2 linked regions of the Bombyx mori genome follow. The protein of the gene in region 1 interacts with the protein of each later gene in a pairwise test. Links are inferred from orthologs where the notes say so. Each region holds a gene or a part of one and is shown on either strand. Other genes may lie near its edges. The genes, in order: Ck2b and RING-box protein 2.

Region 1 (4,576 bases):
ACGGTGAAGGAATAACATCGTGTAATAAAAATCAAACCCGCAAAATTATAATTTGCGTAATCACTGGCGGTCGGACCTCTTGGGAGTCCGCACGGGTAGGTACCACCACCCCGCCTATTTCTGCCGTGAAGCAGTAATGCGTTTCGGCTTGAAGGGTGGGGCAGCCGTTGTCACTATACTGAGACCTTAGAACTTATATCTTAAGGTGGGTGGCGCATTTACGTTGTCGATGTCTATGGGCTCCAGTAACCACTTAACACCAGGTGGGCTGTAAGCACGTCCACCCATCTAAAAAAAAAAAACTAACACTACGCGATCGGCCACATTTCGTTCGTCAGAAAATACGTGACGTCTGCTGGCCCTAGGATCTTACTCTACACACTCGTCCTCGACCTGTCTCGTGGTGTTTCGACGACCGTGTACAGCTGGCGTTTTCCTCATATTGAAACGCATTTTTTTTTCCTACCTAAGCGGATAGCCTTGATAGGCTATTTCAGCGTAACTATAATTAGTAGGTGAGCTCATGGGGATCAAACCTGACGACGTTGCTAACACGAACCCTAGCAAGAGCCGTGCTTCGCAAAATCTACCACCGGATCGGAAACGCGACCCACTGAGAAGATCCGGCGAGAAACTCAGTAGGCTGTGTCTGTGGGTTAACTTACTCGAGCCCTTCGTCGCAAGTGACGGGTTCGACGAGAACGATGACCGGTGAAATGCATGACATTCACGGCAGAATAAACACGGTACAGCTCGTTCTCTGCAGGTGGACGATACAAGCATAGATAATATACTAATTTAAGACCTCAAGCAGCACCTGCACAGCTATGTCGAGGTTGATAACAATACTATTACCCAGTTGACCATTCCAGCGGAGCGCATTTAATTAAGTATGTTCCATTTTTTTATTATTGTAGCACTGCTATAGAATTGTTATCCCCGAATTTGAACTTTTGGAATAATCATGTACCGAAAATAAATAGTCGCACGGTGGAAACGGATTCTTTCCTACACAGACGTCACTATTAAATGGTAGCCTACGACGAAACAAAACGCTAGGAAAGTTTTATTCTTCATTAAAATTTATTACAATATTAATATTTAACATAGGAGTTTAACAGTAACACATTACTGGAATTTTTACTAGAACCTCAGTGATTACTTAAGTGCAGCTCTTTTGTGCCATTTCTGCAACGTCTACAAGTTAGTTTTAAACTGTCACAAATATTAAACTGTTACATACCTCCATTAATATCAAACATCAATAAATAAAATATTGCAGTTCACGGGATTCGGTCCTTTTACACTTCTATGAAAAAAGGTCATACACCACGAAATTTTCATATTACTTAATCATATAGCAGCTTTTACTTACTATATAGTATATAGATGTGAAACACCGACCATTCGAGGAAAAAATTTGACTGTGGACATGAAAATATAGAGATTAATATTTTTCTCAGATCATAGACTAGAGCATCGACAAAATCATTCTATTCATATTCCGTACGCACACACTGAAATTTGCAATTTCTCTCTCCCTCTTTCCAAGAGGTGTATCCTCCCGTCAAGCGTGGCTAATCAAGGCACGAAAAGGTGAGGTTTGTCGTCATTTTATCTCAATATTCCATGATTACTGCGAAAAAAAACACATTAAATCTTTGCCAAATTCGTTAATTTACTGTGAAATTGTGAAAAACAGCTTTGAAGACATAAAATAACAGGTGATAACATAGGAATGCATAAAATTTGTTGTAACAGCAACGTGTGGCGGGTCTGAAGTTTTGATTGTATTTATGTGATTCTTTCGTCCCACATACCTAATTTAATATGATTGTTTTATTAGAAAAATGAGCAGCTCCGAGGAGGTATCCTGGATCGCTTGGTTTTGCACGCTTCGAGGCAATGAGTTTTTCTGTGAGGTGAGTCTCGACTATTCGATCGCTGTAATAAAATGTTACCTTATTGATCGTCATAATATTATATCTTGTGCAGGTTGACGAAGACTACATAAATGATAAATTTAATCTAACCGGCTTAAATGAGCAAGTTCCACATTATAGAGAGGCGCTGGACATGATTCTGGATCTGGAGCCAGGTGATCAGTTAACAATAATTTTCCTTCTCAACTTAATTGTAAAGTACTATTGAAAATCAAATATAAAATGAAAGTTGCAGACATTTTGTTGCATGCCATTATTTAAATAGATTTCTCTAAAACAAAGAACTGTATGTTTCTACATGATTCTCATTTATGAAATTCTGCATTCATCAGAATCATCATAAATGAGAATGTTGTATTGTAAATGTTCATTAAATCTAAATGTTTCAGATGATGACATTGAAGACAATCCAAATGAATCTGATCTGGTGGAACAAGCATCGGAGATACTATATGGATTGATACATGCCCGGTACATATTGACCAATAGGTGAGTTGCATTACATTGTATGTTAATTATTGTCTTTAATACTTTTAATGTAGTATGATAAAACAAATTATAAAAAAAATTAAGTGCATCAATGATAAATAATAGTAATGAGTACTCAAAAGGGGTCTTTACTAAATATTTAAATATTTTTTTTTATATCCCAAGATAATAACTTAACTTAAGCTACACTACATTTCCAATGCCACAGTCATATAACCGACTAGGGTTATTGTTGTCCCCACACAACGTGGTCTCGCCTTGTCGTGGCGGTGGGGCTTAAGCGTGCACCCCGATACCGTGGAGCAGCGTTGTCTGCACAGGGGTGGCGTGAACTAAGAAGACTGCACACCGTGTTCCCTTTTCCCACCTTTGCTAAGCAAAGGGTGCGTGAAGAGCGAAGAGGGCTCCCTTCTGGAGCCTCTTGTATGCTAGGCCATGTCCCCGGCGGTTCTCTGGCTGTTAAAGGGGAAGGCCCTCCAGAGGGGGGTACCGGTACGCCGGCGTGGCCACAACGTGGTCAGACGTGTGGGTCTGTCAGTAATGGTAGACCCACGTGGATGAGAAGTGAACCGGAGGGCACTCCCTTCCGGTCGCTGGTCGTCATGTCCCCGGCTGCCTCTTGGTGGCTACAGGGGAAGGCCCTCCAGAGGGGGGTACCGGTTTACCGGCGTGGCTTCGTAGAAGCATACCGTAATCCCTACCGAGTAGGAGGCGGGGGCCGCTGCCTAGCAGGGGCCGCGAGGATGCGAACCTCTATAAAAAATGCCCTAATCTTAAGCTTGTGACGTGTCCGGTGATGAGATGAGTGGCTGGAGGGAGTCCAGTCGTGAGGACCGTCCCAGGGGACCGACCCCTGGTTAAATAAAAAGGAACAAATATAATGATGGCAAACTTAAAACAAAAATTACCCCAGGAGGGTACCACCTTAGGTGGAGAATCCCTCCGTGCTTTCACCTCGGTGGGAGCACGCTGCCCCGCGTATTCTGGGGGGGGCAAAGAATGCCATGATGAAGGGGGCTGTGCGACGGGCAGCGGAAAACCCGTCGAACCGAGGTGTGCCAGCGCTGGCTCGACGCGTTCTGCGCTCGTCAGCGACGGCGAAACAGTTGATCCGAAAGGGACAGCCGCCAAGAAGATCAGGCGGAAGAGGAAATCCTGGCGAGTTTCCTCTCGTGAGGGGGTAGGGGAGCCAGCATCGTCCTCTGGTGCGGATGCCCCGCCGGAGAAAGTGCTGGTAGTCTCCGATGCGGCATCTGCTGCAGAGGAGATGCCGCCCCCTAAAGGAAGACCCGCCCGTAGAAGGGGCGCGCCGTCACCGGCGCCATCATCAGTGTCGATGTCTGTCGCCTCACTGGACGGGCAGACGACGGAGGAGGAAGAGGGTGGCCTTCAGGACCCTGCCTTGGTCATAGACAGGGCCATGAAGACCATCAAAACCTATGCGGCCAACGGCACCAAGACCAAAGCCGCTGGCCGTAAACTGCGAGAAGTGGTCTCGCAAGTCTCGAAGGTTCTGCCTTCGGTTGCTTCTGCCAATGACCAGGTAGTGCAGCTGAGGGCGGAGAATTCGAGGCTTCGAGCACAGCTTCAAGCACAGCAGCAGCCCAATGATGGCGCAGCGACGCCTTGGGTCGCTGGAGCCCCTCGAGGTCCCCGTCCCCCGGCGCTGACTGGCGACCGATGGCCTGTGCTGCCGCCACCGCGTGTGGCACAGCAGAGGCCGCGTCTCCCGTCGCCGCGCTCTAGGGAGACGACCGCTGCCGAGCGACAGCAAGCACTCGCGGGGCCACGGATGTTGGCTCCGCTACAACCAACAAACTTCAGCCTGGAAGAGGTCATCAGCCGCACCATCCAGGCTGTAATAGAAAGGCTGGGCGGCAGGTTGGCGGCTCTCGAGGCGAAAGTCCCTACCTCGGCTGACGCTAGGCGGCCGGCGGTGTCGGGTGCTTTGGCCGCTCGTCCTGCTCCCGTACGGGCTCCAGTCACCAGGTCGGGCCCGGGACGGGATAGAACCAAGCGAGGGGGTCGCGCTAACGCGAAGCCCTCACTACAAGCACCCCAGTCCCGCCCGCTGCCTCCGCCCCCGTCAGATATGGATGAGGGGTGGAACGTGGTGGCCCGGCGGGGTACCAAAAAGGCCCCAC
Region 2 (4,555 bases), on another chromosome or scaffold:
GTAGGACTTGATCCAAGCGCAATAACTTGTGAGAATTTGGCTTCCACCGGAAATATTGAAATAAGGCTGCAGAATGCTTGCGACAGTTTTTGGACCATAGGATCATGTCCACCACTACACATTTCCGTACAATCAGAAACTGGTGGTGTTGATGCCACAAGCGCGATTTGCACAGGTATGATTTACATCCAAAATTATATGGGTATTTTACTAATATTAATAATAGTTATGTCACTTTTTAATTGAGTACCTAGTAAGTATTGACTAATAAGAGATTCATTCAAATTATATGTTTTTTCCTCTTACACCTTTTTTAACAAATTTCACATAAAGAAATGGTCATTCCTAATGGACTGTTTTTTAATTCTAGATGCTTCGGTATGCAGATTCCCATACAACATTAGATATCAAGTCCAAATTGAAGACCTGGGGTGTTTTAGTGGAGCATCAAGTCTAGGAGCCAGCCTCGCAATTATTCTGACTTCTTTGTATCTCGCAATATTCTAACTGCGGGTATTAAATTTGGAGAAGCGTTATTTTTTCCTACCGATAGTAATAGTACCAACCTACTTTTAACACAAAACAAATCTATAAGTTATCGTTCATTTTGAATATCGTATTTTGTTTCATACACGTGTAGTTTAAGATTTCCAATTTACAATAAGATTGTACAAAAAGCGTGGCGGAGCCTATTGAGTATAAAACATTAAATATTATAATATATACATATTATAAAAACCAGATATAACAGGGTTTATTGTACTTATTTTATACAAAATATAGTTTCCATATATAATACATTAAGTATAAACGTAGACTTTAAGCAATTTTCGTGTTTTTTTATAAATAAAATCTACTGTAACAAATAGCCTTTGTATTATTTTTTATTCTATATATGTTATTAGTTCTGAGTTATTTGGTAGGTGAGCTCGCGGGGCTCAACTTGAGTGTGCTAACACTGACCGTAGCAAGAACTATGCTTCGCAGAATCTACCACCGGAACCGAAGTACAAACACATCACTAAATCAATGGCCCCATTCATGAAACCGGAAGGCATTACCTACTACTTCGTCATAGATAATGCACTTATTATGTTTATTACTTCGTTAGAGAAATAGGCAGGGTGAAATTCCACAAGACGATCTGGGTCGTTTTCAAATTTGAGGCCAAACTATCGTAAAGCTATCGTATCGTAAACCAAGTATTGTATTAATGTTATCTTATAACATTGTGTCGTAATATGAAAAATTATATGAAGCGAAATGAGACATTAATCGATTGGAATTAATTTCCATCTTCTTTTTCATCGTTCTCTCACCGCTGAGGATCGCGACCACATGTGATTTTCATCCACAGTGTTTGATCATGGGTGGCATGGACCGCATGATATAGACTACCACCAACCAGATCTGACCATCTGGCTGGCGTTCTGCCTACGACGCGCAAAAAAAAGAAGGTATTGCGATTTAGACTATTTATTTATCAAATTTGATCTAACGCTTTTTAAACCTTTTTATTTTTAATTAAGCACGGTCATCCGGCCCCAATTTAGGATTCCCTGTGTTACGGGTACCAGAGACTACTAACATACTTATATACGTTCAAATATATACATATGTATATAGATAATAAACACCCAAACAAAGAGCAAACAAACTGTTCATCACGCAATGTTTGCTCGATGTGGGAATCTAACACATAACCCTCGGCGCAACAATCAAGGCCGCTAGGTACTGTACCTCCGAGTCAGTCCTAAACAGTCCAATATGTCATGCAGTTCAACTGACGCACAGGGTACATCTGTAAAATACGTTTACGGTTGCTGTTACACTAATGTTATGAATTAACCCACCAACGCCATCTAGTTTCTTTTTGTTAACTTTAAGCCAATATTCCCCGGATTAAAAAACTCATGGGATGATTATTCATTCATTAATTGCGTGGATGTAATTCAGAGTTTATACGAACATTACGTCGAAGATTACTCTTTAAATTAAATCTTTATCAGTATAGGCTATTTCCTTTTACCGCAACAATTAGAAAAGTCAGTCTGTCAAAGCTGTCACTGCCACTTCAAAATCTCACCTGATTATGTTTTTAAAAATAGTAAACAAGTCGAGCATTGTAAATGTACGCATTTAATTTTCAATAGTTACCTTAAATATTTACCATAAACATTAAAACGCATACATTATGTCCGGTGAAGACTGTGATGGTATGGACCGTGGGGATAACGATGGTCCAAAATCCGATAAAATGTTCACATTGAAAAAATGGAATGCTGTTGCAATGTGGAGTTGGGATGTTGAATGTGATACTTGCGCTATTTGCCGCGTGCAAGTAATGGGTAAGTTTTTAATTATTTATGTTGTTTATGAATCAATTCATAGATATTCATCAAAGTGATAGTGAGTCAAATTTATTTAACAAATTAATTGCTTGGACAAGATGACAGTTATTTTCCAGATTAGAATATATAGAACTATTAAAGAAAATATTACTACCCTACTATAATCATATTACAAGTAATATTTAGTGTGCTGTGCCGATCATAATTAGAACTAGATTTTGAGCACTAAGTATGTTTTCTTAAAAGTATTTTATTTTTATTTTAAGTTAAGATGAATGTTGCCAATTAGCATTGAGAGTCATTACTTTTTTTAAAATGATTACATTATTTAGGGATAGAATATAATTACTAATATATTAAACAAAACAGTAGTAATATTGTTCTATCAATGTTATATATTTGGATTTTCAAAATTAAAAATGTTGTGTGCGTGTGAATTATTCTCAAACTATTTAATTACGCTTTAAATTTAAGGCCATAATTAAGGCATTTTAGTTTAAATTTCATTATATTACATTGAAATAATCCTGTTTATTAATCCATCAATCTGTTAAAGAATTGTAAAGAATACTGACTTAAACATAAATATTATTTTGCCGTAGTAAAAGCAGAATCGATTGATCATACTTTCTTTAATTCTAATAATTCTCTCTTAATACAACATAATATAACATAATAACACCTAGGTCCTGGGTCATGTCCTGGTTCTGGGTGGGCTATATACTTTTGAACATTACCAATATGTCTCCTCTTAACTTGAACTGTTTACTAACTTTCATGAATGGAAACATAGTTACACTTACAATTCATATCAATATGTGTGCTTGTCAAATTAAACAAATAAATAATAATAGTCATTGGACCGACAAATCAATATGTTTGAAAGCTGTACAATATAGATTCCATGTGGTCTGGCCCCCCTTGTTTCGTAAAAATAATAGTTAACTATTGTTTTCTTAGTTAGTTCTAAAATTTGAAATTGCAGGTACATATAACTCTATTCATAGGCACAATTCGATTAAAAGAGATTAGTACAGTGCCTTCAATGTAATGATTCTGTGAATTGTAATGGTTCGAATTATAATTTAAGGATGTGACTCTCTTTCCATTAAGTGAAATTTATTCTTTAGATCTTACCATTTATTTTCATATTAAAGTTTAAAAAAAACATTTTTTATTACAACTAATATAAGTAACTATTTTTTTTTTTTTTTATTGCTTAGATGTGTGGACGAGCTCACAGCCCACCTGATGTTAAGTGGTTACTGGAGCCCATAGACATCTACAACGTAGATGCGCCACACACCTTGAGATATAGTTCTAAGGTCTCAGTATAGTCACAACGGCTGCCCCACCCTTCAAACCGAAACGCATTACTGCTTCACGGCAGAAATAGGCGGGGCGGTGGTACCTACCCGTGCGGACTCACAAGAGGTCCTACCACCAAACTAAATAAGTAACTTATGATTTTAACTTTACGGCATAGATTAAACTCTGTTATAAGATTGCCAAAAAGCTTAGTATTTTACATGAAGTAGTGTATGATACAAACTACAAAATAAAATCATTATAAATAGTTACTAAATGTAATAATTTCCCAATAAAAACTACTAAAATACTTTGGCATTCATGTCATAAATTATAATCCTCGTAAAGTCTACCTACCAATAGAACCAGTTACAACAACTAAGTATGATACCATTGTACTATTAGATATAAGATTTTTTTATAGAAATCTTTTTCTACACAACGTTTTTACTGCCTAAAAATTGTGAAAAGAATATAGTAAAAGTTATTAATTGCTACTTTAAAGCTAATTTTATTCAATTAATAAATGCTTAAAACATCTTCTTAGCATCCGTTTGGCAAAGGCTTAATGTTTGCTATCGAGCTTAGTCGACGAGTTCTGGGTTTCTCTTCTCTACCGGTTATTTTATTTTCAATTTGATCAAGGCTTTTGCCTCTCGTTTCTGGTACGCAAACAATAACAAAGAATAAGCCTACAAAACAAATACTCCCGAAGAGCCAAAACGTGCCCGCCGCGCTGATCGCATCAACAATGTTCTGAAATGTTTTTGTTACAATAAATGTACATAGCCAGTTAAATGCCGTGCAGATTGAAGCAGCGCTACCTCGAATCTTTGCTGGCAAAATTTCACCCATCATTAACCATGGTATTGGCCCGAAAGCCAGTGAGAATCCTA

Evidence for each region.
Region 2: the proteins of Ck2b (region 1) and RING-box protein 2 interact in a two-hybrid assay, tested with the Homo sapiens proteins (2 studies listed by BioGRID). The link is inferred for Bombyx mori from reciprocal best matches to the Homo sapiens genes CSNK2B and RNF7.

Annotation. Positions count from the first base shown.
Region 1 is NC_085121.1:1,778,123-1,782,698, reverse strand, and holds the start of Ck2b (casein kinase 2 beta subunit), read left to right. Parts: upstream 1-1,560; 5' UTR 1,561-1,596; exon of another isoform or gene 1,597-1,724; intron 1,725-1,846; exon of another isoform or gene 1,847-1,847; 5' UTR 1,848-1,850; coding exon 1,851-1,922; intron 1,923-1,995; coding exon 1,996-2,098; intron 2,099-2,332; coding exon 2,333-2,432; intron 2,433-4,576. UniProt on the Homo sapiens protein: Regulatory subunit of casein kinase II/CK2.
Region 2 is NC_085111.1:9,083,849-9,088,403, forward strand, and holds the start of RING-box protein 2, read left to right. Parts: upstream 1-1,465; 5' UTR 1,466-2,194; coding exon 2,195-2,348; intron 2,349-2,966; exon of another isoform or gene 2,967-4,202; coding exon of another isoform or gene 4,203-4,555. Other genes in the region: uncharacterized protein LOC101738136, read left to right, coding at 1-175, 371-507; facilitated trehalose transporter Tret1, read right to left, coding at 4,203-4,555. UniProt on the Homo sapiens protein: Catalytic component of multiple cullin-5-RING E3 ubiquitin-protein ligase complexes (ECS complexes), which mediate the ubiquitination and subsequent proteasomal degradation of target proteins.